Oryza sativa Japonica Group: one gene and its partners. The protein of the gene in region 1 binds, or shares a complex with, the protein of each later gene. Links are inferred from orthologs where the notes say so. Each region holds a gene or a part of one and is shown in the gene's direction. Other genes may lie near its edges. The genes, in order: protein TIC 40, chloroplastic; protein TIC 22, chloroplastic; protein TIC 20-v, chloroplastic.

The links.
Region 2: protein TIC 40, chloroplastic (region 1) and protein TIC 22, chloroplastic share a complex: the UniProt entries of both Arabidopsis thaliana proteins name them as parts of the tic complex. The link is inferred for Oryza sativa Japonica Group from reciprocal best matches to the Arabidopsis thaliana genes TIC40 and Tic22-IV.
Region 3: protein TIC 40, chloroplastic (region 1) and protein TIC 20-v, chloroplastic share a complex: the UniProt entries of both Arabidopsis thaliana proteins name them as parts of the tic complex. The link is inferred for Oryza sativa Japonica Group from reciprocal best matches to the Arabidopsis thaliana genes TIC40 and Tic20-V.

Annotation. Positions count from the first base shown.
Region 1 is NC_089038.1:22,281,788-22,292,499, reverse strand, and holds the end of protein TIC 40, chloroplastic, read left to right. Parts: intron 1-430; coding exon 431-545; intron 546-625; coding exon 626-683; intron 684-770; coding exon 771-788; intron 789-2,097; coding exon 2,098-2,350; intron 2,351-2,489; coding exon 2,490-2,608; intron 2,609-2,681; coding exon 2,682-2,745; intron 2,746-2,867; coding exon 2,868-2,946; intron 2,947-3,211; coding exon 3,212-3,252; intron 3,253-3,345; coding exon 3,346-3,391; intron 3,392-4,062; coding exon 4,063-4,160; intron 4,161-4,629; coding exon 4,630-4,733; intron 4,734-4,808; coding exon 4,809-4,856; intron 4,857-4,966; coding exon 4,967-5,020; 3' UTR 5,021-5,444; downstream 5,445-10,712. Other genes in the region: serine/threonine-protein kinase-like protein CCR4, read left to right, coding at 10,344-10,712. UniProt on the Arabidopsis thaliana protein: Involved in protein precursor import into chloroplasts. Part of the motor complex consisting of a co-chaperone (TIC40) and a chaperone (HSP93) associated with the import channel (TIC110).
Region 2 is NC_089040.1:5,937,217-5,948,233, reverse strand, and holds protein TIC 22, chloroplastic, read left to right. Parts: upstream 1-3,982; 5' UTR 3,983-4,160; coding exon 4,161-4,601; intron 4,602-4,686; coding exon 4,687-4,749; intron 4,750-5,187; coding exon 5,188-5,262; intron 5,263-6,018; coding exon 6,019-6,063; intron 6,064-6,918; coding exon 6,919-6,978; intron 6,979-7,027; coding exon of another isoform or gene 7,028-7,057; coding exon 7,058-7,129; intron 7,130-7,208; coding exon 7,209-7,244; intron 7,245-7,320; coding exon 7,321-7,410; 3' UTR 7,411-7,755; downstream 7,756-11,017. Other genes in the region: uncharacterized protein, read left to right, coding at 2,088-2,387. UniProt on the Arabidopsis thaliana protein: Involved in protein precursor import into chloroplasts. Imported into the intermembrane space via the Toc translocon. May be involved in the import pathway used by proteins without a cleavable N-terminal pre-sequence.
Region 3 is NC_089036.1:30,719,359-30,729,685, forward strand, and holds protein TIC 20-v, chloroplastic, read left to right. Parts: upstream 1-4,186; 5' UTR 4,187-4,409; coding exon 4,410-5,093; 3' UTR 5,094-5,504; downstream 5,505-10,327. Other genes in the region: rhamnogalacturonan I rhamnosyltransferase 1, read left to right, coding at 568-635, 726-814, 922-1,087, 1,171-1,460, 1,567-1,771, 1,888-2,045, 2,227-2,470; transcription factor BIM2, read right to left, coding at 5,583-5,639, 5,739-5,859, 5,943-6,090, 6,178-6,355, 6,462-6,500, 6,579-6,674, 6,754-6,823, 7,013-7,124 and 3 more. UniProt on the Arabidopsis thaliana protein: May be involved in protein precursor import into chloroplasts. Not redundant with TIC20-I, TIC20-II or TIC20-IV.

The DNA of each region.
Region 1 (10,712 bases):
TGGGTAGGTGCGCGCTGAAAGCTCTCGTATGCGCTCGCTTCAAGTGTCCGTGCTATAGTGTTTTTTTTTGTGGGATTGTCAGGAATTTTATTATACTCTGTGTATCAGCTGGATCCATCGCTGTGCCATGGGCTTCGTTAGTGGAATTGAGTGTGTTATCCTTGCGAATTTAGTGACCTTAAGTCATGCATCCGTGATGGAATACTGTCTTTATTTTCGTAGTATGGTGGCAGTTGGTGAGTTAGTAATGGCCACCTTATCCAGTATTGGTAGTGTGGCAAATGATGAGTACAAAATGGTCAGCATATCTGTCCTTGTTTGTAGTAATAGCCGACGAATAGACAATCCCAATCAGCTTAGGATTTCCCCCATTTTAATCTTATGCTGCCGGAGGATCTCCATTATTCTGATTGTTTAGTTGTAACAACAGGTTTCGAGGGATTAAAGACAAATGGATTTGCAAGCATGTCGTCTTCGACCAACAGTGAGAATATGTCAACTGGAACGGGTTCCCTACCTCCCATGCCACCCCCATCGTCATACATGTGCGCCAGTTTCCCTTCTTTTGTCTGGCTACAATTTTCTCAACTTACACTGCATGATGACATGTAAATCCTTTGTGCAGCGGTTCGCCTGTTTTCTGGATTGGAGTTGGTGTAGCATTGTCCGCAGCATTTTCTATGGTGTGAATACAATTACCTGTAATGCTTTTTTGTGATTAAATGTTCTTAGAGTTGTATTTTAATACTTGGTGTTGGCTGTTATATCAGGTCTCTTCGATGGTAAAGGTGAGTTCACAACTTTCCTCTGTTTCTACATCTTCAAATGGTATGTACCCTATCAATTGCATACTTGATCTTGAGAATGACCCATGGTCACCTCTGCATACTAGTACATAAGCAAGAGAGGTATTTTAGTGAGCTTTTTTTGTGATGAACCTACATACCCACATGTGAGCCATGCCTTCCTTTCTAGTTCTTAATAGTTTGAAGCAATGCATGGCATATGTTCTAGCAAAGGTGGTACTGTTGCAGTGTACTCCCTCCGTACTCGTAAAGGAAGATGTTAGGACAATGTTTAAGTCAAACCTTGGGAATATAAATCATGAATAACTCTCAAGTTGTTGAGTTTGAAAATGTAAAAATTATATGAATAGATTTGTCTTGAAAAATACTTTCATAAAAGTATACATATATCACTTTTCAATAAATATTTTTATAGAAACAAGAAGTCAAAGTTGTGTTTTGGAGACCGTGTCGCTGTCCAGAACGACTTCCTTTACGAGTACAGAGGGAGTATTGTAGTTTTGTTAGACAATTCATTTTCTTATCACATAATTTCTAGTTCTTTTCAATATTGATAAAATAGCATAATATCCATGCATTGTGATGGATGTCAAAACAATTTGGTGTACTCCCTCCGATTCCATAATTCTTGACGTTTTGGACAAGGTTGAGGTCAAATTTTTATAACTTTGACTACCAATAACTTTAAAAATATTTAGTTTAAAGGTACTAGAACAGCATATTTAGATTTGTCTTATAAAGTACAATAATAAAAGTAAAAATATATATATTTATTATATATTATAATAGAAAAACATAGTCAAAGATATATTTTGAAGACCGTGTCATTGTCCAAAACATCAAGAATTATGGAGCCGGAGGGAGTACTCACTAAGATCAAATTTTTTTATATATAAAAGACTAAAGGAAGTCCTCTAATGTAAATTCTGCATGTAAAATATGATCATATCACCTCACCCAGCTTCAAAATATTGGCATGTAAAATAGTGCAATATTTTACAAAAAAAACCTATAAGTAACACACATGTATACATAAATTCACCCATAAAAGATCCAAAGTGAGGATGATACAGCATCATCACTTCCACTAGTTCTTTTAATTACTAGAGAGTTAACATTGTTGCACCACTTCTTTTCTCGAAAGTATATCGTGATGTATCCATTGTTGCACTGATTTAATTAATACAATGTTCTCTTTGTAGGTTTGATCTGTATAATGTCTTGTTGGAACTTAAAATCGTATAACTCTCCCTTGCTTGCCAGTTTTGACACATTGCTAATTCTGATGCAGAAATATGCAATGCAACAAGCATTCAAGTCAATGATGACCCAGGCACCGCCAAACACTTTTGGCTCAAACTCGCCTTTCCCATTTGCCATGCCACCACAGGCAGCTCCTGCAGCTCCTAGCAGTTACCCATACTCACAACCAAGGAAAGATACCTCTCCTCAATCTGCAACTGTCGATGTTTCAGCTACTAAAGTGGAAGCAACTGGAACTTTGGAAGAGGCTGATGTGGCTGAACAGCCAAAGAAGAAATTTGGTATTGGCCGTTTATCTCTGAGAATTCTTCTCCAACTATCAGTGAATAGGGGATGGAGCTTGTGATTAGTGTCTAATCTTATGTTTTCTTCATACTTTTGTCATGCATATCTCATGTTATTGTAACAAAATGTTTGCAGCCTTTGTTGACGTTTCTCCTGAAGAGTTGCAGCAAAAGGAACTTCAATCTTCACTGGAGACAGTGGATGTAAAAAGTGAGAGTAAACAGAGTGAAACTATGGAGGATACTGAGCAAAAAGTAAGTTGCATGAAGAAGCTTTGTAATAGGCTCCAAGTACAATTCAACTAATCATTTTCAATGATCTTCATAGGCTCCAACAAATGGAACTGCTTTTAAGATGAATGAAGGTTCTGCTAGCGGGACAACTGAATCTAGTAAGTACTATTATCATTAGCACATTTTTATTATTCACATTTAGTTTTTTTATTTGTGTTTCTGTTTAAGGATTTTTAGTTATCTGCTGTTGATAAATGTCCTAAACTGATTATGTATGTAGGCAATTCAGGGCCTATGTTGTCCGTTGATACAATTGAGAAAATGATGGAAGATCCAGCCGTGCAGAAGATGGTTTACCCGTAAGTTTGGGACCAATATAAGTCAGAATTTTGTCTACATGAATACAGGGTTATACACCTTTTACTGATGTTAGATATCTTTGACATCTTTGAGGACAGTGCCACAACAGTATAACATGAAGTTAATTCTGCATGGAATAACTAATTGTTTCATTTCTGAAGTCTTCAGTTCTTGTAAAACGTGGAATAATAACTGTGAATTAAGAGCTCACATTTTGAAGTACCTAAGAATTTTGAAGGTTGCTAATTTCTTCAAGTGTTGCAGCTATTTGCCTGAGGAGATGAGGAACCCTGATTCATTCAAGTGTATGCTCCTACTTACTTTTTAACACTCCGATATTACATAAAATATATGTTCTGATATAGTGAGGACTGATGTCTGGAAATCTTATGTTACAGGGATGCTGCAGAATCCAATGTACCGCCAACAACTACAGGATATGCTGTAATACACTCTTCCTTGAATATTTTCCCTCCAAGCCAGTTGTTGCTAGGTCACTTTTAATTTGTCTTGAACAATGAAGTTGTCATGTGCTAGGATTATTTGGGATGAAACGGGGTGAAGGAAAATGAACTGGATTATAATAGAGGAAGAAACAGGGAATGACCCTGAACCTAAACGGCGCGACGCTCTCCGTCGCACTGAGAAGGCAGGGCCGATGGGCACTAAGATAAATATTGATCTAATGCCTAATTGATCTGGGATAGGATCCCCTCCTTATATAGATGGAGGACTACTTAACCTAATCCTAACAAACCCTGACTCTATCCAATGGGCCTAGGATTCCCGGCCCAAAGCCCATGACATTACTCACCTCTTTTCGAGCAGCTCATCCTCGAGCTGCAGCAGACCCTGCTAGACTCAAATAAAACACCATAACCTAAACTAACTCTTAAGCCTTTTACATCTCGGCTTTTAGAATTGTGGTGGACTGGCCTGTAGAATTGTGCCTTGTATTTGATGGGTTATGCCAACTTGAGTTGTGTTAGTGCCACTGATCATTACCTACAGTCTATTATGTCCCTTGCAGACTTGCGGTATTATTGCATGATGTAACTAATATACAAATCTTATCTGGCTTTCCTTAGACTATGCTGATGTTTTTCTCTAAACAGAAACAACATGGGTGGATCTCCTGATCAATGGGATAACCGAATGCTCGATCACTTGAAGAATTTTGACCTTAGCAGTCCAGAAGTCAGGCAGCAGTTTGGTGAGTGAATTAAACATTTCCACATTTACCTAGTAGTTCCTGATTGGAACACTGGAATTCTGTTTAGCTTCCATGCTATGCTTTAGTACCCTATCCCAGTGAGCAATTCGATGATATGTGCTATTCCCCCCTAATGCGAACCTGTTTTTTATTTCTTTTCTGTCTTCCTTTCTTTCTTTTTGGGCTATAGTGAAGTCATATGGAGCATATGTTCTTTTACCCCCTTTGTCACTTTCTGGTGCTAGATACGCCTAGCAGAGTTTTTCGCACCTGCTCCCATTATTATGTCCTTGCATACTTGGTAGGTGGGTGGAGATAATTAAACTGGATTGTGATTCCATTGTGCTGAACTAGTTTTCTATTGTTTGCAACAATTCATCTATTGCAAAATTGTTCCATCGCATTTTGTAAAAAGTTATTCAAATTCAAATGAGCATATATGACATCAATCTATTTTGTGTTTGCTCAGCGCAAGTTGGCATGACTCCAGAGGAGGTAGTATCGAAAATAATGGCAAACCCAGAAGTTGCTGTTGCATTCCAGAACCCAAAGATTCAAACAGCGATCATGGATGTAAGTTTCTGTACAAATTCATTTCATTACTGAATAAACTGTTGCATCTTCTAACAAAGAATCATCTTGATGCAGTGCTCACAAAACCCGCTCAATATTGTAAAATACCAGAACGACAAAGAGGTATGTTTTCTGTGTATTCCGGTCATCTATTGGACCTTTATCAATTTACTCAAAGACTTGAGATGGATTGCATCATGCTTCTCTTTCTAATTTGATGAGTCTGCTTTTAGGTCATGGATGTTTTTATGAAGATATCACAAATCTTCCCTCAAATTAATGGCTAGTGGATCGTCGCCGTGAGATTGCAGTTTTGATTTTTGTTGCCCTATCATCTCTTCCAAGTGGCTGCGGTAACATCTGTTGATCGGCTGAGTAAAAGGAAACGAAGTTCATCTGTTCAGTCATTACGGACAAGATGTAAAAGCTTTCCTGTCAGGGTTTTTTGAGTTGCCAATGTACATCATCATATCGCCTAGTGTTTGGTTTGGTAGTGACCCTGCCTCAAGCCAGAGCAGGCAACGAAGCGAAGTTAAGGATTTTTTTTATTTACATCCCCGCGCCCCCGTACAACTGTGTAGCTTGTGCTTTGACGTTACGAGGTTTGTGGTAGGTTGTGAAGATGCAGAGATAGTTCATATCACCTCAATTTTGATAATATTATGTATTATATCTGTGTTAGCATTGCAATGCAAGCGAACAAGTTTACTATCTTCCAAAGCAACTTGGTTGGATTGGTGCTTGTGTTACTCTACATATAATTTGGAGGCTAATAATTCAAGTTCTTGAGGCTACTGAGCTCATGATCATACCATAGTGATAGAGGTATGTTTTAGGTTCCAGGATACCATTGTCTACCAGTGAGGTAACCAGGACAAACTGCCTACTTTCAGCTGATCACGAGCAGAGAGATCCGGTGGATCTACCATTAGTGCTCTGTTTGGATTCCCATATGAGGGGCTCTCCCGGCAAACGATGCGATCAACAATTCCATTTCCATTATCCAAGACAGGTTCTTTGCTGCTTTGAGTTTGCTTCACGCCGTTTTGTTTTGATGGAGAGGCGTGAGAGCCGAAGGCCACCGCTGCGCTCCGGCCTCAAACACGGGCGGAGCACCTGCGTCACGGCTCACCACGCGCGCACACGACGCATTTTCTCTTCTTCTTTGTCCGGGTCTCGACGTCTCGTAGCCGCAGGTAGTAGACGACGCGTGCGTGTGCGTGGCGGGGGAGGTCGGTCGGTGGCCTTCGGTGGTGCAGCCAGCCAGCCAGCCACGCACACCGGCGCCACCGTCCCCCCCCCCCCCCCCCCCCCCCCCCCCCGCCCTCCCGTCCCGTCTACGTACGTAACACCATCCTCCGTCAGATACCACCACCACCACCACACCTGAGCACCAGCAGCGGTATAACTAGCGCAAAATTGCCGCACGCAGGGACGCAGCCTGCAGTGCAGGCGGATTCGAGATGAGGTCACACGGTCTCACACCATCCACAACACCAGTCGCCCCCGTCAGTCGTCAGACAAGTTGTGTGTGCTGAGCCTGAGGCTGCGTCGTTACTACTCGCTCAGACAGACGAGCGATCAGCGTTTTGACTCGCGGCATACGTCGCAGGGACCCCGCGCGCCGCCCAACGGGTCGTTCGTAATCGCAGCAATGGCGCGCCAGCCAATCCGTCCGGACTTTTTATTTATTTTTTGTTGTTGTTGTGACAAAATCCTCAAATGCGGCTACCGAGCACCGGCACAAACGGTGAGAAAAGAGGCGACTTCACTTCAAAAGAGTAGCCTGAGTAGGCTGCACTGGAGAGGTGAAACAATTTTTTCTTTTTAGAAAGTATATATAACCTCCAGCCACTGCAGCAACTAAGAATACACGTGGTCATAATTATGATATTACTACATCCGTCCCCAAAATAGAGTTTTAGGCTTAACGTGAGTATTAACAAAGTGGGTAAAGTTAAATGGTAAAAATATTGTGATCGGTTGAAAATAGAGAGTTGGTGGAGAATATGAATGGTGGAATATTATGATTGGTTGAGAAAAAAATGTAGGTGGAGAAATTATTATATTTTCGGACGGATGGAGTAACGTTTAAAATCTGATAGGTTGTGCCATGCATTTTCCATTCTACCACTACACCAATAATGCTTCCGCATGAAACCGAATATAGAGGGAGGAAACAAACAATCTTTTGTTTTTTAAGTGGGGAGAAAGTGATTCTGTTAGTCAATTGGATTGCTTTATTATCACTAGGGCCAGTTGTTCTCATATGTTGTTTTCGTAAATTCTAAGACGTCACTGTAATTTTCAAGACCCATTAGCTCTAGCTCTACAGGTGTTTGTTTTTTTCTCTTAGCAAATGAGGGTGCAAGGTTTGTTTGCAGTTCAGCTGTTCCATTCAGGAAACCCACCAACTCTCAGAGATAAGCACTCTCTGATCTCCCCTTTGTTGCTTTTTAAATGTGATTCTGTTAATGATTATTGGTACGAAAAAAAGGGTAGTACATCGCAAGATTGATGTCCCACTGCTTTTTTTTTTGTCACGTTCGCAATCGAAGACTTGAAGTTGTACAGTCTGCCGCTTTACGACTTCGAAAAATATGTAAAGTTGTTTTCATGTTCAAAGTAAAATAAACATCTGGGTCTGGTCAGTGCTGCATCGGCCTCAGTATTTACATAAATTTCAATGACGGATACCTTTCTGAAATCATAGCTATGTTGGAGCATTCGGCAACATGCAGTATGTTAATGAGTTCTTGATTCAGACAAACATAGTCAACGAAACGACATGGATGTATTAACAAATTAAACTTCAAGCTGAAGATACAGAAAAGTCTGCACTCTGAATAGTGCTTTGTCGCTCGCACACTGCCAATTTTTGAAGAAAAGGTGATGTTCATTTTATGAAACCAATACATGTTTTTTTTTTCTTCTCTTCTCTTCATCATTTACACGGATAGAAATATAGAATTCAGAATTTGATATTGATCAAAATCTAAAAAGCCTATGATTTCGCAAGAAAGGCTTATCGCTGGCGAAAACACGAGAAATTTATCACACATATTATGGAAAACTAAAAGTACAGGTGAAAAAAAAAAAGGCTGTGGCCTTCAGTAAAAATGCAGATGCAACTACTAGTTGACCTGGTTCTCATGTTTGAACACGATCCCCACCACAAATATATTACAGCAATTTTTTCCAGATAGTTACAGTACAGCACTTTGTCTTTGCTCTAGGAATCTTTGTAAAGAAAGGCTCTGAAGAACCTTTCCCCCCAAAAAAATGACCAGGTAAAACTAAAAACTGATTCTCAGGCCAAAAGCGCAGACTGATCTGCATCATTCGCATTGAAAAGGCCACAACACTGTCACGAGGAAAATTGTAATTCAGGAAAGGTCTCTGGAAAAGGCGCAACACGCAGCAATTCGGTGTTCAGATTGTTGCACACTTGTGTTCTCAAAATCTTTATGTCCTCACGTAACAAGAAGCATTCAGCTGAGCTAACCTAACATCAAGACAATATTGTCTGAACAGTCTCCTGCACCAGCTTAATTATCTTATCACCAACACAAATTCATAAAAGAACACTGCAAGGTTAGTGAAATGTTTGTAAGGTAACACAGATTAGAAGAAAGATGGAAAGATGCAGGGTTTCGTTTCCTCAACTGCAAACTTTTTCAGAGACAGAAAAAACTAGTACAAGAATGCAATTGACACCTCAACCCCTGTGGCTTGCACGAAAAATGCACAAAAACTAGTACAAGAATGTACACGGATTAGGCCGGTCTGTATCTCATAATTGCACGAAAGTTCATCTATCGAAATCAAGAACACGGAGTTCTTCTCTACATCCCTGTTAATTCTACGCGTCTACCGCGTGTAGATCAAAGATTACAGCGAGATGAAAATTCGTTTCTGACTTTGGCCATGTCGTCCCATTCACAAACATCTCGAGAAGAGACCGAATGTTTCTCATCTCCTCCATTCTGGACCTCGAAGAAAATACCAGCGACTGACTGATCTTCGTTTTTCAGTTCGTTGGTCAGCAAAGCCCTGAAACCGCGTAGATGTGCGTGTGTGCTTCAGCCTTTAGGTCTCAGTCTTCAGTTTCGTCAGAGAAAACACCAAAAATAGCTGTCCGATGTCACTCCATGTCTGTTTTATACGGCATAATGGAATCAGGAGCCCACAGAGAGAAAAGTATTACAGCTACTTAAACTGTATTTAATTGCAGTGTTGGGGCTTGTTAATTGCCATCTTGCAGGGTAAAGAAATGATCTTGACTTGTAATCAAATGTTTTTTCTCTTCAGTCACTAGCTGGCTGTCTCAGCAATCTGCAGAGCACACATGCCATGGATGGAGAATCTGGATCTTAGCTGGGACTCTTGCTTGTGGCAAGGCAAAGAAGACCTAGAAGAAACCTTATATGTGATGATCTCTGATGATTGCGTCCAAATCTGATACTTAAACAATAACCACTATCAATAAGATAGATTTTTCTGATGAGTAATGAAAGTGTTAGGGGAGGTGTTTCTAGATCCGGAAACAATAGATTTTTCTGATGAGTAATGAAAGTATTAGGGGAGGTGTTTCTAGATCCGGAAACCGCTCCTAGTATTCTCCCATGATCTCACTTCCTGAAAAAAAAGAAAAGAAAACAAGTACAGTTTCTTGGCCATTTTCTCTGCTGAGTGAGATGAGCACAATGATGATTCAATAATTTTCTCCAACTTCGCTGGACTTTGAAAGGCCTGGCCACATTGTGGGAGTTGCACAAAATGCCATATGAGAAATTACCTTTGCTTTCACACATTAGAAGGAAAATATCAGTAAGTAATTTCATCCTTCCCTTTTGTAATCATACAACAGAAGAAATGATCATCTGCTTATATGACCTTGTGAAGATCGTGCATAAAAAAAATGAACTTAACAAAAAGTTCATATTAAGATCTCCGATTATGGTGGCGGACCTAGAATTTTTCTTCGAACATAGATTGCGACCCCATTGGAAGATACTTGTCACTAAGTCACAACCACCATTGTACTATCATCACAACAGAAAGGATAGTGGCTATATGTCAAAAGAGAGGATTCTGATGAAATGTACTACAGCTTGCTTAAAATTCATATGCACAAAAGAAAAAAAAGAAAGAATCCCATTACTAATCACAACGTGGTCCTCCAAAATGCAACACCATAACTAATTAACAAGCCACCTATTTCCTCTTGACAAGCTATTGACACACATCAAATCACTCAACAAAGTTCTCAAAAAAAAAATCACTCAACAAGAGAGAGAGAGAGAAATACCAATAGTGCATTCATATTTCCATACTACCCAACAACCAAGTTAGCCAAAAAGAAGAAAAACAAAAAACACCCAAATCTTTCCCATTACTTTTTCTCAAACAACAACAAAAAAAATAAAAAAAAATCTAACAAAAAGTGATGAAGAGGAGAAAGAAAAACATAGACACCAACCTTTAAACCTCCACCCTTTCCCTCCCTCCCCCATTTCCCCTTCTCCATCTTCTTCCTCCTCCTCCCCAACTCGCGCCAACAATGGTCGTCTCCACAAACTCCTCCTCCTCCTCCTCTCCTCCAACCCAATGTCTCCACCTCACCTCCTCCTCCTCCTCCTAGCCCTCCTCCTCTCGCCGCCCCTCCTCCTCGCCTCCTCCTCCTTCCCCCTCCCCACCATCGCCATCGCCGCCGTCTCCAACTCCAGCTCCAACCCCTCCAAGCAGCATCTCGCGTGCGGGCTCGTGCCGGCGGCGGGGGGCGCGGCGGCGGGGTACAGGATCTCGTGCGCCAGCGTGTCGAACAGGTCGGCGGCGGCGCCGCACGTGTACGCGTATGGCGGGGACGGGACGTGCTCGCCGTACTCGGCGGTGGTCGCCGGGGACGGGTACCTGTGCTCGGCTGCGCCGACGTCGTCGCCGCCAATGTCGATGCGGTGGTGGGATCTGAACGAGGCC
Region 2 (11,017 bases), on another chromosome or scaffold:
ATACCCTATGATTCCCTCTACCACCACTTGCACCGGTGAATATTTTACAGAAAAGCACGTAATGATAGAGCAGAGATGATTCACTGGTAAACAAATTGTAGACCATGATGAACATACATTATGTTATTGATCACCAGGGGAAATTTGTTGGGGGCAACAGCTTTAAACTGAAAGATTATGCTACCACGAAAAGAAAGGGTTACTATGAATTTTCCCAAGACAAATGAAATGTTAGAGCTCAATCACTAATGAAATGGTGAACTTTTAAGCTCCACCACCTATTATTCTCCATGCTCATCTTAGAAAAGTATATATGAATTATCTGTCATTTCTTGTAAGTTTAATTCTCAATACAGCAGGTCATACTGACCTAATTTTCAACATATTTCACTTATCCATTACAAATGTACACGCGCACTAAACTAAAAATAACCGTAAGAGTTGCTAGAATCCGAGACACCTGGTCGGCGTTGGCAAATTTATTACTGAGTACTCCTATATTTAGGGGAAATATTTATACTCTCTCCGTTTCATATTATAAGACTTTCTAGCATTATCCATATTCATATAGATGTTAATAAATCTAGACATATATATGAATGTGGACAATGCTAGAAAATTTTATAATATGAAACGGAGGGAATATTATATCACAGTGCCATAACATAATTATCAGGTGATAGCCATGATGCATAGGCACACTCTCAAGACCACAGGAAGAGAGTATACTCCCTCCGTCCCATAAAAAACCAACCTAGTACTGGATGTGACACATCATAATACAACGAACGTGGACATACCTCTGTCCAGATTCATCGTACTACAATATCCGACATCCAGTACTAGATTCGTTTTTTTGAGATGGAGGGAATACAACAGAACACTACTATCACATCTACAACATCATCTCACGCTCTCACCAAGAAACAGTCCCAACACGAGATCCCAAAACGCGTCGAAGTCCACCATTTTTCCGTTGTACTCCCTCCGTCCCAAAAAAATGAATCTAGGATTGGATGAGACATATTATAGTACAACGAATCTGGACAGATGTATGTCCAGATTCATTGTACTAGAATATGTCACATCCGGTACTAGGTTGGTTTTTTAGGGATAGAGGGAGTATCATCGCCCACCTCCATCAATGTGCTTGCTACTCTGTCAAAGACACGAGCATTTCTTTCCAAAACCCAAACAAGTCCCCCAAATATTCCATGTGGATTTTGTGAGCACTCTAGATGCTTTGAAACTCAATCATCTCTGTACTCTTTGCTGCCCTGTACCTTTACACTGCAGGGGTTAGACTATGTGCCACCACCACCTTATCAAACACCAAAAATGCTGCACTTTTAAGCTCCACCGCCTATTATTCCCCTTGAAAAATCCCAAAGCCAAGCACCGCATCCTCCTGCAGCAAAGCTCCCCCACTTGTCATCTACTCCCTCCGTATTTTAATGTACGACGCCGTTGACATTTTGACAAACGTTTGACCTTTCGTCTTATTCAAAAAAAATTATGTAATTATAATTTATTTTATTATGACTTGATTTATCATCAAATGTTCTTTAAAAATAACATAAGTATTTTTATATTTGCATAAATTTTTTGAATAAGACGAGTAATCAAACGTTGGTTAAAAAGTCAACAACGTCATACATTAAAATATGGATGGAGTATCATTTAATATCTTAATCATTTTTCACCCAAAAATGTATCCAAAGTTCACCACGGATATATATCACGCCATCGATCGACCAGTGGATTAGGTAATAGATTGACACGCAAAGCTTTTACATGTTCGCGAAAACAAAATAATAAAAAAAATGCATCACCACCGTCCTGCCAAACGCGCGTGCGTGGGAAACGTGCGGTAAATAGTTGCGCCGTAAAACTCAATAGAAGAAATCAAGAAAGCCAAGCTCTCCCTGATCCTATATATATTGTTCGACGCTGGCTCACACTTGCCTCTCACCCAGACAGATCGAGCTACACACTGAGATAGTAGCTAGCTAGCTGAAGAGATCGATCTAAGTAGAGCAACTGATCAGCAGATCGAGTGATCGAATCAGCTAAGCTAGCTAGCGAAGATGGCGTTCAGGAGGTACAGGGCGCTGCCGCAAGGGGAGGTGACGGTGGAGGAGTTCAGGGCGTGGCTGGGGCAGTTCGACGCGGACGGCGACGGGAGGATCAGCCGGGACGAGCTGCAGCGCGCGCTGCGGAGCCTCAACCTGTGGTTCGCGTGGTGGAAGGCGCGCGCCGGGGTGCGCGCCGCCGACGCCAACCGCGACGGCGCCGTCGCCGGCGACGACGAGGTCGCCACGCTCTTCGCCTTCGCGCAGAGGCACCTCAACGTCAAGATCGCCGAGCTCGGCGCCTCCTACTACTGAATTAATTAACCTCCCTCTCTCTCATACTGTGATCGACAAGTGTGCGTGATCAGGATCGATGTACGTACGTAACTGTGTGAGATTGCGCGCTGTGCTGTGTATGTTTGTGTTTTTGCACATCTTTTGTGTTGACTTGATTTTGGTCTCGGAGATTCCACTCTCTATTTTTACTCTCGTTTCATCGATCACTGCGGGATTTGGAGAAATTATGTGTGATCTTTGTCGATCTCTTTAGGCCCCAATTTAAACTGACCATCGATAGCTTACTAACAAAGGGGAATTCAATTGGTGTTTGGTAAAGGCTATACTAGTATAGATTTTTAGAGGTTAAAAAAGTAAGATAATATCTAAAACGCAATCGATGATTGAGAAAATGGTTACTTACACTAATCATTAGTTAATAGGGCCAAGATAATTTAGGCACCACAATGGACAATTTAATGATTTGGCACTTTATTAGTCCGCAGTACTTTAATTGTATTGGTATTTATAAGGATGCTATATAATATCATAATGAGTCAATGATAATAATGGCTAAGTATGTTTGCGAAAGCGCATGTAGCATAGTTGTTACAAGAGTCTCAGTAGCACCTTAGGTCCTGGGTTTGACTCCCCATGGAAGCAAACTTTTCAGCATTTAACGGCTTTGTGCTTTCAGTGGTAGGCGACGTACCCGTCGACAACGAGGCGCCCGTGGTGATTTCGTCAATCTCCAGGATGCATTTGCCGGCCCAGTCTTCGAAGATGCTCATAGGGGTAAGGTTTGCGTGCGTGCGTTCATACTCATTTGAACAGTCCTCATATTTGCCTCATCTGTAAAGCTACTTGCTGGATCTGAGGGCTTTCAAGGAGACTGATTAATTTGTTTGGACTGAAAAACAACAACCGTTGGATGGTAGATGGACAGTGCACGCACATGATGTTACGTTGTAGCTCGATCCGATCCACGTCCCGTCCTCTTCCTTTGCACGCTGGCCAGCACATGATGTGTAGAGGTAGAGAGACGGTAGTCACCCACTTACCCTTAGATCTCTGTTTTTCTGAGGGCTTTTCAAGAAGTAGACTGATTAATTTGGGCTTTTTAAGAAGGAGACTGATTAATTTGTTTGGACTGAAGGCAAGAGAAACAACAGCCATTGGATGATAGATGGACAGTGCACGCACCTGACGTTACGTCGTAGCTCGATCCGATCCACGTCCCCTCCTCTTCCTTTGTGCTCCCTCCCCGTGCCGCCTGTGCCTCCACGACGATGAGGTGCCAATGCGGCAAGCAATTGGACCTCCACCTAAGCAAGGCAAGCCGCGCTGGCCAGCACATGATACGTAGAGGTACAGAGACGGTAGTCACCCACTCACCCTTGGATCTCTGTTCTTCCCCAGACAGCGTGCGCGGAGTTGAAAAATTTAGGGGCGAATAATTCCAATTCTATTGGTGATGCTCTTAGAAGCTAATTTCATCCTCCATATTGTAAGTTGTAACTAAACATATTTTCACTGAAAAAAATTGATAATTGAGCTTAACATATTTTCACTGAAAAAAAAAATGATAATGGATTGGCCGAAGCAAAACCCCCCGACCAAACCCAACCAAGGCCACACCAGTTGCAGTGCAGCACGACTCCACGAGGCCAGACGGTGCGGCTCGACCGAATCCGCACGCCGCCCGCGGCCCGCTCCTCGGCGACGCCGAGCAACACGACACCTCCGCGCGCCGCCATCCAAGTCGTCCGTCGCGTCGCGTGCCGAAAACCCAGCAGCAACCAGCCAACCACGATGCCGCCGCCGCCGCCGAACTCCTCCTCCTCCTCCTCCTCCTCCTCCTCCCTCCCGCTCGCCGCCGCCCCGATGTCCAACCCGTCGGCCCCCTCCTCCTCCTCCTCCTCCTCGTCGCTGCCCCCCAACCCCCTCGCCGCGGCCTCCTCCTTCCTCCACCACCACCTCTCCCGCCTCGCGTCCCGCTTCGCCGCGCCGCCGCGCCCAGCCCTCGCTGCTGTGACGGCGTCGGCGGCGCCCCCGGGGCCGCAGGGCGCCTCCGCCTCCCTCTCCCTCGCGCTCGCGCCCGACGAGGTCGCGCGCGCGCTCACCGGCACCCCCGTCTTCACCGTCTGCAACTCCAGCAACGAGTTCGTGCTCGTCTCCGACCCCGCCACCGGCCTCCGCTCCCTCGGCCTCCTCTGCTTCCGCTCCGAGGACGCCGACGCTCTCCTCACCCACGTATCCTCATCTTCCCATCTGTTATGCCTTTTGCTGTTTGATTTGTTCTTTTCGCCCTAATGGTTTGGGAGTTTGTGTGGTTTAGGTGAGGATGCGGCAGCCGGTGGTAGGGAGAGGGGCAAAAGTGGTGCCGATTACGCTTGATCAGGTGGGATTAAATCGATATTTTGTGATCAATTTTGTCATCACTCTTCTAGGACCAACTCTGCATAGGAAGAGTTATGGAGCATTTGGGTTTATGCAAGAGTTAAATAGGGACATACAGTTGTATGATAATTTAGTAACTGAATGACATATTAACGAGTAGCAAAGTGGGACCTGGATTTCTTCCAAGAGCAAATCAAGGAAAGCTGCCGTTTCTTATGTGCTGCCCCTTTTACCTAGCTTAGTCTATCTTTTCTTACAACACCCATGCTTTTCTTGCATATTCATGCTTGAGGGTTCTTGGGCTTAGGCTAGCCTCGTTGCAACTTCACTCGTTTCTACTTCATTCAATACAACTAGTATATTGCTTACATTTAACTATGCTGATTATTTTTTATGTTTTACAATGTAAATATACCTTAAGCCGTCCTTCTAAATGCAGGTTTACATGTTGAAGGCTGAAGGTATTGCATTTCGGTTCTTACCTGACCCTCTTCAAATTAAGAATGCGTTGGAGGTTAGTTCTTCTCTGGATTTGTGGCTCTTTGCTCCATCTTATCTATAAGTGGATATGTTTAGTACGCCCATCTGGCCATCATTCTATCTCACTAGAAAAGTGGAATTCAGTTCCTCAGGTTGACAGCATTACTCCTTAAAAGCATCAATGCAGCCATTGCATCTTCCAAAATTCCAATGGACTCCTTATATACCAATTTTACTCCCATTTAATGTTTTTAACTATTTACCAACAGTCCGAGATCTTTGCAGTTTGGGTATGTGTGTACCTATTTTCTGTATCACCACTCAAGACTTTACACATGGACTTGGTTCCTTGTATATATTATTGGTAGAGAAGTTGTACTGTCACTAATCATTGCCTTCACCAGAATGCACAAATGATATGCATACACTAGACAGATGCACGCAGAACACATGGAGTGCTGTCACATGTCAGCCTATTTCATAAGGAGAAAGTCCCTTCCTTGCAAAAGAAAAAAAAACATATGGGAAGGTGGCATTTTAAAATATAGATAATCTGTATTGTTTTTCCTGTTTCTTGGTGTGGACTGTCCACATTCAGTGGTTAGACTTCAGAGTATATCATGGAATGTACAACTCATGCCTTTTCACTCATGAATCATGAGTATATCAGAGCTGACGTCTTAACAGTGTATAGTATGTAGATTATTGCTATCTTATGCATTGTTTCACTAATGTAAGAATGCTAACAAACTTACTTCAGCCCAGTGACGATTATCCTTCGTTTTTTCAGTTAAAATCTGGCTTAACTGCTTTTGATGGTGTTCCTGTTTTCCAGGTAATACTCATGTCTGTATTATTTACTGAAAAATATACTTTTATGGAAAGCATTGAGACATACCCTTTGCGATTATTAAATGTATTTTAGAATATTAACAATAAATGTATTAAAGTTGATTTGCTGATTAATATCTTGACTCAGTATAAATTACTCGTGAACTTAATATTACCAAAGTGCATGGACTAATAGGTAGGTTCTGAAGCTATCTGCTTGTTCCTGTTAGTTATTAGCCCATGCCTATTTATTAAATGTAAATGCATGAACTGTCCTGTCATAATTTCTCGTTATTTGTCACATGTGTGCATCATTTTGTGAAGCTTTAGCCTTATCTTATTGGCACGACTTGTTGTACTAAAATAGGACTAGAAGATAAACGGATAGTCAAAAATTTTCAATTGAAAGTTTAGGCGTGCAGTAGTCTAAACCTTTTCATGGAATATCAGATCTTCTGATGTTTCGATTGTCATAGAACAAGGGAAGCCCTGATTTTCTTATCAAGGAAAAAACTGAAGTACACAGCTTTAGGTCCATCAACGCAGTTGGTTACATGTTTATTGCAGTATGACATGAAAAATCACGTGGAATAAAAGCATCATGGCAGGAGAGAATGCTTAACTTTCTTCCGGAGATGCTTGAACACTTTGTTTCAAGATATTGTGCCATTATATGTATGATTTTCCAATTATTCAGTTGTTTGCAGCACTGGACTTGTGAATTTGACAGGCTGATAGCTGTTTTTGATTATCATAGCGTTCTATCCTAAGTACAGACTATTTAAGACATTAAGTGATATATTCAGCATTTGGTGATTTATTCTTTCCAATAGCAATAATGTCCCATTTGAATGTGCAGTCAGACCTATTGGTTGTTAAGAAACAGAAGAAGCGTTACTGTCCGATATATTTTCAAAAGGTTTGCCAGGCTTCAATTTCTTTCATGTAGTTTACCCGGTCTGATTTAGGTCTTCACCATTTTCGCCTTCTTAGCTCAGGAGGACATAGAAAGAGAACTTACAAAGGCTTCTAAAACTTCTAGAGGATCTGCCTTATCTAAGCAAATCATGGTATGTGATTTTATCGTTATAATATCTGATTGCTTTCCTAGGATCTGATGATGTTGCCTTCAAATTGTGGTTTCTTTAGGTTGGGAGTTTGGAGGATGTCTTGAAGAAAATGGAGGTAGGATGACAGAAATGCGTTCTGGATTGTTTTTACTTAGGAAATACTAAACATTATAACATACTTGTTTCTACAGATGAATGAGAGGAATTCTGGTTGGGATGACTTGATCTTTATACCCCCTGGGAAAAGCCTCAACCAACATATTAATGAGGTATCAGCATAATTTTGTTCTTGCAGTGATACCACAGGGTTTGAGCACACATACACTTGCTCACTTCAAATGCTGTGATGGCCAGCCAATCAATAGTGTCAAGTTGCTGCCTGAGCTTCTTTTTAATACTTTCTTGCTAGTGGTTCTTGTAACAAAAAAGTTCAGGATTAAAGTGAAAAAATATGTGTGGTTTTTTCATTGTTTCAACCTTCAAACATCAATACAAGCTCCACTTGAAGCTGGCGAAGTGTATGAGGCGCAAAATCATCTCTGTTGCAGGAAAATTATTGTTCCACAGAAAAATTATTGTTATGTGCTAGATTACAGTCATAAAAGAAACAATAATTAACGTTGCCATGATCAGTGTGTGTTCGGTGGTCTTTCGGGGATAAAATCCAAGTTTCCCTTATCTTTAGCCACCTGGACCGAAAAGGACGTTCGTGTAATCATTTTGCCTTGTCAATCCATGTTTTGCACTTGTTTCTAACGAAATGATCTGTATTTTCTTTTCCAATGCTACTCGTTTTCATTTATCTTCCTAAACTGAAGAGGGCTAATTGCACACTTGTTCGCTTTATCTTTTCGAATTGCATCTTAGAAAGTCAACGGGCAAAATTTTCTCGATCCACCACAGATGTGTATAATATCTCACTCGTTTAAATTTAAACGAGAAGTATATTATTATTCCTTGATAAAATTTAAACGATAAGTATTAAACTCCATTCTACTCGATCGTGGATCTGCCGATTCCGCGCCAGCACAGAGAAGTCTACGAGTAGCGTCCTGGTGATCCGCGGCTCCGCGCTGGGCCGGGCCCCGGCCATGGCCTCCGCGCCAGCGAGGCTGCCGCTGCCCTGTCGAGAGGAGTAGGAACAACGGGTTGAGTGTGCTTTTCGGTTTGGAAGGTCTCTGTGTACTTAGTAGGGCAATACCATCATTCATTTGGGAGAAATTGGGAGTGGATTCTAATCCAGCGAGAGGATATCCCCTCGTTTGCCTTTTTCTTTCAAATCTATTAACTTATTAAAGTAATAGAAAAAGGAGCATCCACGTTCGCTCTCACGGCATAGAAATTCTCACATTAATCAAGAAAAAAAGTAAAGTCCATATATGTACAATTTAAAAATAACAGAAATTTAGAATTAAAAATAGGGAATATAGATAGAGGAGACTAGAGTCCATATAAGTATATACTTAAGAACTAATTAAAATTCGGAATTAAAAAATAGGAAAACTAAAACTAGAAGTCAGAGTCCCTATTGAAATATAATTTTAAAATAACTAAAATTAGAACTAAAAAAAATGGAAGAAGATTCTATAGCCTATATAGAATATAATTTAGAAAAAACTGAAATTCGGAATTAAAAAATAAAGAATATTAAAAGATGAGTTTAGAGTCCATATAGAAATACAATTAGAAACAACGGGAATTCAGAATTAAAAAATAGGTATATTGAAAAAAATAGTCTAGAGTCCATATAGGAATTTACAACAAACTGAAAGTCAAAATTAAGAAAATAAAATAAAATTAGAGTTTAGAGTCCACATAGAAGTACAATTTAGAAAAAAACTAAAATTAAAATTTAAAAATAAAAAAATAAGCAATATTGGGAGAAGAGTCTAGAGCCCATATATGAACATAATTTATTTTGGAATTAAAAAAAATAAGGAATATTGGAAATAGAGTAGGAATACAATTTATAATTATGGAAATTCTGAATTAAAAATAAGAATACTGAAAGAAGAATATATGGTTCATATAGGAATTTAGAACTGACTGGAAGTTAGATTTAAAAAAATTAAAAAATTAAAAGTAGAATTTATAGTCCATATAGAAAGAAAAATTTAATTCAAAATAAGCAAGAATGAGAGAAGAGCCTGAGTTCATATAGGAATACAATTAAAAAAATAAGTAAAATTAGAAATTAGAAAATAATTAATAACTATCAATACAATACAAAATTCAAAATTGTGTTGCTATTTTTTAATATATTTTAGTGATAAAATATGAAAATATTTAAGCTATTATATGATAAAACAAATATAATGATGCTAGCCGCGCAATCTATGCGGGCTACCATGCTAGTTCAATATAAATAGTTGTGAAAATTTTGAAATTTTTTTTTGACAATGTAGAATATAGTGATATCTATCTATCCACCAAAAATCAATTTCAAATTTGATCTATACATCGAGAAATAAAAAAGACAAATTTAGATGTGAACAATACTACTATTTATACGATGAATTTGTCTTTTTTTAATCTCGGCGTGCGAGTTGAGTTTGAACCTAAGATTTTGTGGAGCTGTATAGATATGTTATATAAGTGTTGTCAATTTTTTTCAGAATTTTTCATAACCATTTTGATGGATTTTAAACAAACGAGGAGACATCCCCTCGAGAGATCAAAATAGTTTTCCGGAGAAATTTTCACTGTCTTTAGGAGGTAGCAGTGTACATTCAAAATTTAAACTAGAGAATTTGGTATCTCATCTTTTCAAGACCATAAAATTACTCTCTATTTGGATATCCCTGGTTAATCTATATGTACAATAAATTTGTGATGGATTGATCTTATTGAGCCATGGACCATAGTAGAAAAAACTGGACTGGACCGACGGTTCAACTGAAAAAAACCGGAACCAGCTCCCTGACCGGCTCGGTTCCCTCAAAGGATCGTTCACGCAATCGACCTAGTGTGAACTGGCTGAACCGGGCGGTTTTCACGCGAAACCGCTGAACTGGGTGACCCTGAACTGGTCGGGTCGCATATTTCTTATGGGCCATGTAAGACTGGACACTGGAGGCCCAACTTACAGCCCAACTTGATTTTTATGTGAGAAAAAATGGTGCAATTGTGGGATTCGACCCCAGGCCATTAGGCGAGATTGCTAGTTAGCGCGTACGCGCGAGATGTTTTACTAGCGCGTACGTACACGTGTCTCGTGGAGAGAACGAGAGAACAGCCATACGACAGTGTCGTTAGAAACGGAAAACGTGATTAGTGCGTAATTAGACGCAAATTAACATCATTAGTTAAAAAATGATTAACACATAATTAGTCGCAATTAACATCATTAGGTTGTTTTTTACTTTTCAAATATAATTTAAGCCTTTCAATAAAAAAATATATTCAAACTTTAAAACTCTCAAGTCAAATTCAAAATTTGAAAAATTTTAAATCAATTTCAAAACTTTCAATTCAAAATTTGAAAACTTCCAACTCAAGTTTTGAAAACTTTCAAGTATATTTTAAACTATTAACTACATTATATATATATATATATATATATATATATATATATATATATATATATATATATATATATATATATATATATATATATATATATATATATATATATATATATATATATATATATATTCTACACCCCCACCCCTCCCATGGGCCAATCCCACCTCCCCCACCTTTCCTAGGGCCCAAAACCCCCCTCCCACCTCAGTCAAAGGCTGGTCAATGCCCCCTCCCGCCAGTCAAACCCGCCCATTGACTCCCTCCACCGCCCACCACTTTGCTGTTCACGTCCCGCAGGAATTCCGCAGTAACATAAAGGTCATTGTGCAGTACCATGACAACTTTCTCGCAGTAACAACATCG
Region 3 (10,327 bases), on another chromosome or scaffold:
CATTCTAGTCTATGGCCATTGTGACGGAATGGAAAGGAACATGTACCTACATTTGGTGGCTCAAGCACGATAATTATGTGTTAGCCTTTTCCTTTTCGGTACCAATTGTAGTGCATTTAGGAACTCACATGGGTGACCACAACATTAGCTGCTCATTTAAGAGCTTGATCTAGCTTTTTGTAGAAACTACTATGCGACTATAATGATAGTACAGTTTGACGATTTTCTCTACTTCTGGAGACTATTGGTCTGTTCATGCAACAAACTTTGATCGAACTTAATGTTAGTTATGGATAATCCGTTAATCCTACTTTTACTTTAACAAAGCGAGGGGTGTACGTATTTTGTTCACTCTTTGCAAGTAGTTGAATGAACGGTTTGATTGGCCTTGCCCGTTAATTATTTTTCCTACTGTAAGTTTGCCACTTAAGGAATCTCAATTGGAATTCAATCTGTACTTGGTAAAAAGTAATGTGGTATAATTCTGCTCGATGTATATAGTATGCTTGCATGCTAGTAGTTGTCCTGCTTTTTTGCTTTCCTAATCTGTTTCCATTTTCTGCTTAGGAATTTATAGGAACAACGGTTATCTGATGGTTTCATGCAATGGTGGACTCAACCAAATGCGAGCAGCTGTAAGCATTTAACATTTTATCATTTAGTTAAATTACACCACTCAATTATGTTTAGCATTTAACAAAACGTGCTATTTCATGTTTACCCAGATATGTGATATGGTTGTCATTGCAAGATACTTGAATGTGACTCTAATAGTGCCCGAGTTGGATAAGACATCATTTTGGAATGATCCAAGGTGCATTTTCTGTTTTGGTATTATTTTACGTTTGCCTGCATCTTTCTGACCTGTATACTAATTTATGACCATATACTTAATCAAACTTTCTTTAATTTTCCTTTTAGTGAGTTCCAAGATATATTTGATGTTGAACACTTTATAACATCTCTGAGAGATGAGGTTCGTATTCTTAGAGAGTTGCCACCAAGGGTAAAGCGAAGAGTGGAACTTGGAATGTTCCACTCAATGCCACCTATTAGCTGGTCTGATATCTCTTATTACCGTAACAAGGTTAGATGTCTATTTCACTATTTGCCCTTCAATTCTACTTTGAGTGAAAAAAAGGGTATTGAATTTAAATTCACTTTGTACAGATACTTCCTTTAATTCGGAAGCACAAGGTTCTTCATCTGAACAGAACTGATGCTAGGCTAGCAAATAACGGACTACCGCTCGATGTCCAAAAGTTGCGTTGCCGAGTTAACTTCGGTTCACTGAAGTTCACTTCCGATATTGAAGAGTTAGGCAGGAGAGTGATTAGATTGCTTCGCCAAAATGGCCCCTTTTTGGTCCTTCATTTACGATATGAAATGGATATGCTGGCTTTCTCTGGCTGTACTGAAGGCTGCACTCGTGAAGAGGCAGATGAGCTCACAAGAATGAGGTAAAAAATTGCTGGTTTTCAAACTATCAATTCGAGATCATTTCATTCTTGCATATTGTTTTTTTTTAGCCGTCACATAATACAGCTGAGTTACTCATAATCTCAGATATGCTTATCCATGGTGGAAAGAGAAAGTAATAAACTCCTATGCAAAAAGAAAAGATGGCCTTTGCCCTTTGACACCAGAGGAGATTGCTCTTGTCCTCAGAGCCTTGGACATTGACAGAAGTATGCAGATATACATTGCAGCTGGAGAAATATATGGTGGAAAGCGTAGAATGGCTGCTCTTACTTCAGCGTATCCCAACGTGGTATGGACCAAATTGTGCACATGTATCTTTGATGGCATCACTGGTATCATTACTCTGCAGACTGCAGATCTCTTTTTCCATTTTGCTGATGTGTGTTCTTATAATTGATGCTCTAGGTGAGAAAGGAGACACTTTTGCAACCTTCCGATCTCATGTTCTTCCAGAACCATTCGTCACAAATGGCAGCTCTGGATTACTTGGTATCACTGGAAAGTGATATATTTGTTCCAACATATGATGGTAATATGGCTAAAGTTGTTGAGGGACACCGCAGGTATATTTTGTACTTGATCACACCTCTGCATTCTAAGTACAGTACTATATTCCTACATTGTCCTTTTGAACCTGGACATTCTAATAGTCATAGAATGTAAACCGAATGGGAGGACTTTATGCAATGTTAAACAATTTCTTTTCTTTAGAGGTAAAGCTGATTGATTATTTTTCTGTTACAGGTTCATGGGTTTTAAGAAAACAATCTTATTGGATCGAAAACTCATTGTTGAGCTGGTCGACCAGTATAATAGTGGTTCTATGCTGTGGGATGAATTCTCTTCACTAATCAAGTCTGTCCACGCAAACCGAATGGGAGCAGCTTCAAAAAGGACAGTGATTCATGACAAACCGAAGGAAGAGGACTACTTCTATGCTAACCCTCAAGAGTGCTTGCGAGATCCCAATCTTTTACGGACATCATGATATTTTTAATAGCGCAATTGCGCGAGTATACTTATTACCATTACACGTTTACAGCATAGCTGAACTTGTTTCTTCCGAGCTGACTCAAATGGCTCGGCATTTTCAGTTCAGAACTTCAGGTTGGGCCATTGACAAGGGAGTTTGGATGGAAGCTGAAAGAAAGGATGATACAATTGTGAGCTTGTGACTACTTAACTCAAATGTAGTTGGTACATAGACGTTACATGTTGGGGAATTGGGGATGTTAGGTTTCCTAATTACGCCGATTAAGAGAAGATATTCATGTATAGATGGGGGCGGGTTAGTGGATAAGTTAGTTCAACAGAACGTTACCGATCATGGTTCATGAAGGAAATTGTTATATATCAGGTTTTTCATACTTTGTGCAGACATTACTGCTCTTGCATCTTGAATTTCTCTCCGTCTCCTGAAGTTTTACCATGTAGTACTACCAACTGTTTCAGCAGTCTGAACAGATGCTGCTGGTTGTTGGGTGTATATATGCTCTGATTGTGTATTATAGAACACCAGAATGCACGGTGATGTATCATTTTTTTTACCACGGCTGTGCTGTGGTGGTGTATCGAAGTAATACATGCCTCTACTTGTTAACGTGCGAGTCAGTGCATCTTGTTTTCAGTGGCGATTAAGATAGGATTAGCACTGATCCAAGAGCGACCCAGCAGTTAAGTGGTCTTGTCCTACTCGTTATCGTCTCATCGATCGTTGGAGCACTCAGCTCGAAATGCAGTGAACCACCGCGAGAATAGCCGCTAGAGATGCGCGCGAATCTGGCACGGAGCGCGCGGCCGAGCCGAGCCGAGCCCATCCCACAGTGCACGGGGTTGAGTGCCTCGTCGTCTCCACTTCGTTGCCGATCTCTACTCGTCAACGCGCGCGAGGGACTCGACGTGCAACCGATCCCTAGGCGATCGCTCTGCTAGACTGCTACGTTCGAGCTCGTGCATATGCGCCTGGTTTTGTGCGATGGATTGGAGGATTAACGTTGACGCAAGAGCCATCTTGGGATCGAGTTTAATTTAATTTTACTAGTGCTCCATTCGACGGGAAACGTGCCAGTAGGAGGCAATGGGGATGAGATTGATGAATTTTCATATGGCAGTATGAGGCAATGGTAGATCCGCAAGCTGCATAGCTCGTGTAATTAGTAAACCATGCTGGTAGATTTGTAGTCTGCTTTTGTGCTAGTGAAGCAGTCAGTCAGGTAACTCTCGGGTGTGGAACGGAGGGAAGATTAACGTGCCACGCTGCTGCAGGCTGCAGCTGTTCTCCCCTTTCTTTTACAGGACCATCCAAATCCATTAAACGAAAATCACACATTATTACAGTTCGTACAACGAAAATCACTCCATTTCCTTGTGTGTGTCAGATCGCTGCCAGCCAATTGTCAAGTGCCAACGGCTGAACGACACACTACGGGCATTACGGGCCGCGCGCGCGGAGTTCAGCTTGAGAGGCGTACAACGCCTTAGCCCATTACGAAATCGCGATGCATATGGTACGACGAAAGCCTGGTAGCCCACGCAGGAAAACCGGCAAAACGCGTCTCAGACGAGGCCCAAACAGTACGCCTGATCCTTTCGGCCCAGTGAACAGCACGGCGCCGCAAGCTTTGGCCCATCTAATGCTCTTCCTGCCTGCCGCGGCGCCCTCGCCGTTGCCCTCCCGCACCAGGCACCACCAACCAATCTCCTCGTCTCCCACTCGGCCACATGCCCCACATCCCACCGAAATCTGGAAAAATCTCCACGCTCCCAACCCCGCTTCGCCTTCGCCCCGGTGGCCGCAGCCGCGCGGCGCCACTGCCCCCCAACCAGCCAAACTCCCCCACCTCACGGCACTGCACCCGCAAAAATCTCAGCTCCCACCCGCCGCGCCGCGCCGCGCCGCGCTGCTCCCCCAACCAAATCCCTTCTCCATGGCATCCGCCGTTTCGCTCCTCCTCCTCTCGTCCCCGCGCCCGCTCCGCCGCGCGGCGCCGGTGCCAGCGCTACGCTCCCAGGCGCGCCACCCCTTGCTCCTCGGCCACGCGGGCGAGACCGCGCTCGGGGTATGGGCCACGCGCGCCCGCCTGCCCGCGCCGCCGCCGCGCGCCTCCAACCCGAACAACGACAACGACAACAGCGGCGCCGTGGAGGCGCCCGACCGCCTGGTGGCCGCCGTCGCCTACCTCTACCCGTTCCTCGACGGCGTGCACCACGGCCGCTTCCTCCTCGCGCAGTTCCCGCTCTTCAGCACCCTGCTCAGCCCGCTCGCGCCGGCCGCGCGCCTCTTCCGCTCCTCCCCGCTCACGCCCTTCCTCCTCTTCCTCACCCTCTACTTCGCCGTCGTGCGCAACCAGCAGGCCTTCTCCCGCTTCGTCCGCTTCAACGCCATGCAGGCCGTCGCGCTCGACGTGCTGCTCATCTTCCCCGACCTCCTCGTGCAGTCCTTCGCGCCCTCCACCGGTGGCGGGATCGGCTTCGAGCTCTTCCAGAGTATGGAGAGCACCGTGTTCCTCTTCCTGCTCGTCTGCCTAGTCTACGGCGGGGGCGCGTGCCTGCTAGGGAAGACGCCGCGGCTGCCAATCGTCGCAGATGCAGCCGAGCGCCAGGTGATGTGATGAGCTTTTGTCAAATCTTGCTGGTGAAAAGGAACAAAGGAAAATGATATACACATCCATCTCGATGCCTCATTGATGTTAGTAGATCGCAAATTCACAAGTTCAGTTTAGTACAGTGATTATTTACAGCTGTAGTAACCAATTTAATGAATGGAGTTACGGAAGGTTGGTACAATGGCATTACAAAATTTACAATCAAGTGTATGAACGAATGAGTTGAATTGGGAATTTTTAGAGATAGCAATACATATACTCGCTATAGAATATGGAATTCTGGACTACATTTACAGATGATGAATGAGAAATTGGGGAGTGTCCTCAAGACCTCCCCTGAAGGAGCTTCAATGGTATATGAATGGATGCTTAGGTTAGTTAATTGTTGTTGCAATATAAATAAAATAATTGCATCAATTGGGGATTGTGGTTGCTGCTACCAAGTTATTGTCTGAACTTGATGATGTCTGAATTTTCTAGTTTGGAGAAAAAGTTCTAGCTTTTATTGCACCGCCTCTTGGTTATTTGGATGGGCTCTTCATCTTCATTGATCTGTGATGTGAAGTCAGGACAAAGGTACAAAATAATTATTAAGCAGACGATCTATATGTTCAAACATCATGAATAAATCAACTTTGTAAAGCTCTATACCTTTGAGTTGTCACTAGTATTATCTCTTGCTCGTTTGGCCAGGTTGATCTCTACAGCTATATTAGCTTGAGATGGATCTAGTCCTGACTTTTTAAGAGCTTCTGTCAATCTGTTGAATAATCTGTTGCAAATTGAAGTAGTATCCTGTTAGTTACATATTGTGCTAACTTTAGTCTTGAAGTAACAAATGGTTAAGGAACAGACCCTTGAGAGTAAGCGCTAGAAATACTATGGTTTTCATCGTGAAGGGTCTGTTTCTCATGCTTGTTCGGCATTTTGTTGCCTGGTTCAGACTCTTGGCGCATTGTTGACATGCTCAGCCATGGTGGCTGATTGCTGGGTGTGCTGTTCTCTGCGTTTAAAAGACATTAAAGTTAGTGGATCTAGTTCTTAATTACAAGAATTCTGACTGTTGAAAGGTGATAAGAAATGGACTTACTTTCCAAATTTTGTGGTGTGCCTGTTGCCATGTGGGAGGAACTGGTGGTTGTACTGGTTACACTCTGTGTGTTGAAGAGAGCAGGTTGTGCTGCCGATATGTGCTTGGGACCGTACTGTTCGTTGTTCATGTCCTGTGTGGATGGTGACAAATCTTCCCCCTGGACTTGACTGGTGTTCTGTGAGACCATGAACAAGAAACAAGGATGGGTACATATCATTGGTATATGATTATGATGAATTGTGCATTCGCTTTCAGTTGCTGTTTTTATTTTACGGAATTACCTTTGTGTTTCTCCAGCATGATCTATAGTAGACTTTTGCCTACCAAGAAAAAAAAATAGAGGGTGAATACTGTTGCACAATTATGTCATGAACATGCTAACATGGCTATGATAGTACCCATGGCATGGATTTGGAATCCTCGTGATTCCTTTCTGGATCGGCTTCCTCATACTTTTGGACTTTCTCTTGCAAAAACCTTATGTATTCAATAACCTGCAAACAAAATGCTTCACAAGGGAGAAATTGCAATATAGCCTGCTGACTACAGTGCCAAAATTGATATTCTGTTTACCTCCGAAAGGAAAGAAGCTTTGTCTCTCTTCTGATCAGTGTGTGGCAGGAGTTCACGAAGTATTTCAAGCCTGAAGGAGAGCATGAAGAATTGCATTTTAGAACACATTTCTTGCACCATATACTTATATGAAATTGTCTTGGAATTAAATGCTGCTAATATGATATCTTGTTGAGCTATCTAGCTACGTCTTCATGGTTGGTTTGTTCCTGCTCTGCAGAAAATAATTCAAAATGGTGTTTGACCTCTACTAGCTTGCCTGTCATTTATCTTGGTCCTCCTTCTCTGCTCAGTTGCTGAATGCTTTGATCTCGGAGTGCTGGGTCCCTGATCGGCGCTGCTGGCGCTACTTCTTCCCTCTGCTCTTGTTGCTGAGTGCACATGTATATATCAAATCCATCAGTGCCTGAATTGAAGTGACAGACTAGAGAATCAACAATACAACTGCGGTACTAACCTTCATATGGTGTCTGGCCTATGGATCTTTGATCAATGGCAGAATCTTGCCACATCGTCGACGGCGCACGGTGAGCCCTACTCCCAGATCTTCCTCCTGTTTCATGTGCATTCTCCATCCTGGCGCCATGAAGCGCAGGTGCAAATGCGAACGCACTCCTCCTGACGCCGCCATGGCTACCGGCCTCTTCTCTCGACGGAGTACCGGACGCGTGCCTGATGCTGAACGTCCCGACGCCGCCCGGTAGCACGTGCTCCTCCGAGTCCGAACCTGCCGGCGACGCGCCGTCGACGGCACTCCCCGCCGCCGTGCCATTGCCGCTGCTGCGGCCGCGCTGCTTGGCCAGGTCCAGTGGCCTCAGTGATCTGCGGATCTCCATACCGTATCCTGCACTTGACATGGGTAACATGGGTTAGCAAGTTGGTGCATTGCTGTCTAACTTGCACACCATGGCACTTGCAGTTGAGAAGGCAAAGGAGAGGGCGGTGCAGACAGCTCACCTCGCGATGAATGGCTGGAATGCTGCTCCTCCCGGTGCTGGAACGGCGGCGACGACGAGCCGCCGCCGGCGCGGAGCGAGAGGAAGTCATGAGCCGGCTCCTCTCCTGCGAATCACCGACAAGCACAACACAACACACGGCAATGTACCATGAGCTGATGAGCATCATGCGGTGAAGAGAGAAGACGCTGTGGAATTGGAGGAAGGAAGGAAAGGACACTAGGGTGAAGTGTAATTCTCTTTGATACCTTGGAAAAGCTGCATTGGCGCCCGGGACACAGGACACTGGAGATCTGTCGACGCTGCTGCCAAGCCGAGCGGCCTGCCGTTGCAGCAGAAAGATGGCGCCTGGATCTTGCCGCTGGGCAGTACACTGATGGAATGTAGCGAATTCGGTTGTCCACTCGGACCTTATTATAGTCGGCTAAGAGAGAGTCGAGAAGGATAGGAGACTGATAATGATATAACAAATAAGCTAGGGAGGTAAGCCCTGCTGCCTGCCGCCTCCCTGCCTGTCTGGCTGGTAGTATTATACTTTGTACCTTTGATATAACAAACGTTTCATGGTTAGATTATACTCTCTCACATCCACGTCTCCCTTTGCATCATCATACTATACAGGGAGTGGATTCTAATCCCTCGAGGGGATATCCCCCGTATACCTTTTTCTTTCAAATTTGATGCAAATAGTTGCAAAAAATTCTAAAAAAAAAATGACAATATAGAGTATAATGATGCCTACAAGTCCACCAAAATTCATGTTCAAATTCGATCTACACATCGAGAAACAAAAAAGACAAATTTAGATATAAACAGTACGCTACTATTCATAGGCTGAATTTGTCTTTTTTATATCTCGACGTGTGAGTTGAGTTTGGACTTAAGATTTAGTTGAGTTGCATATATGTGTTGTATGGATGTTGTCAAATTTTTCCAGAATTTTTCATAACCGTTTAGATGGTTTTTAAGCAAACAAGAGAACATCCCCTCGAGAAATTAGAATAGTTTCCCGGCAGATGCGAAAGCATTGCATGTCACCTGCAGAAGTTTCATAATATAAGATAGGGGTAGTTGTTTAGTTAAAGCTACATATGTACGTCGGCAAAGTAATTAAGTATTGCGCACGGTAGTTTTGATCGATATATCTGTGATGGCCAACCTTTTGATGACCGACGAGACAGCAAAGCTACCGATCGGTTACCGCTAATTGCGGGACAGCGGATACATCAACTTTTAACCGAGGAGAGCAAATGCCAACTTCGGATAAACGAGGCAGCAGGTAGAAGCGAAAGAAGGAAAAGGAGAGGCTACTTAGCTAGCTATAAGCAGCTCACGTGCTCCGCCGGTGGCGCGAGGCGGTGTTGCGGGGTGGGGGCCTCGCGCTTTCCTGCCGTTTCCACCCCCGCCCTTTGCGCGCGCATGCACGCCGACGGCGGCGCACGCGACACCTGGCCTTCTGCCCTTCCCGAGCAGTTTGCTAGCTACGCTTGCCTCGCCGCCGCCACGCGCGCGCGCGCCACCGGCAGGCAGTGGCACGGACTCATGCCGCGGGTGCATTTCCAGCGCCGCCGCACCCAGCGCCAGCGGACGGGGGCCGCCTTTACAGCCTCCAACCGAAGGCGCGCGCGCGTCGAATCGATCGATCGATCTACCGTGCGCGACATGCCACGCGCTCGCCGAAACGGACGGGAGATCGATCGGGATCCCGGCCCGCGCGCGCGACCACCGGGCGTTGTGTTGCTGCGTTCGTGGACCGGTGCACGGGGCACGGCCATGTCACACTCACCCGTAATTGCCTGGATCGATTGGTCGCGCGTAGTACGTGCCGTGGTGCACGTGCCCCGCGGTGTGTGGGGATGCGTCTACGATCTACGTGGATGGACCCCGTGTCCCCGTCGGTACGCGACCGATCGATCGATCGGTCGATGCGTGGGGCGGTGCATGAACCCGACGACGCGGCTAGCTCGAAAGCGAAACACGTACGGCGAATTGGCGAGACTGTCAAATCATCTGTGTGGCAAATCTGAGCCGGGAAGTGAGAGTGACCGGCGTTGCAGGTTAGGGTTCTCGTGAACCGACTCGGCGTGAGCATCCGACAATTAGGATTTGAAATTGATTAGGAGATAGAAGAAGAGCTTTAGCTTAAGCTCTCAAAGTCGTTGCGCCCAAAAAACGACAAGGAGCATGTGTCCCGCATAACCCACGAAGCTTCGTGGCCGTTTCGCTCCGAGACATAAGAAAACGTCCAAGGGCTAATGGCGAGTAGTTACCTTGTGCATGCCGGCCGGATTAGTAGTTCTTTAGATTAGATCGATCCCGATCGAAATGATTTGATCCCATCATTGACAGCGCAGGCAGGCAGTGCGTGATCGGTGGACGTGCCTCTCCTGTCCTCTCCTCTGTTCTGCTCTGATCAGAACATTCCCTCTGCAGAACTGCAAAGCTGAGGAATCCGTTTAGGGATCAGTAAACAACTCCGGCCCGCGATTAAATTAACTCCCGATTAAGATATCCTCCCGCAGTGCTCGATCGTCACTCAGATCTGAGAGCATCGATCACGTGGCCAACGCATCGATCCAACGCCATAGCCACCGCCAAGTTATTACCATGCTGCTACA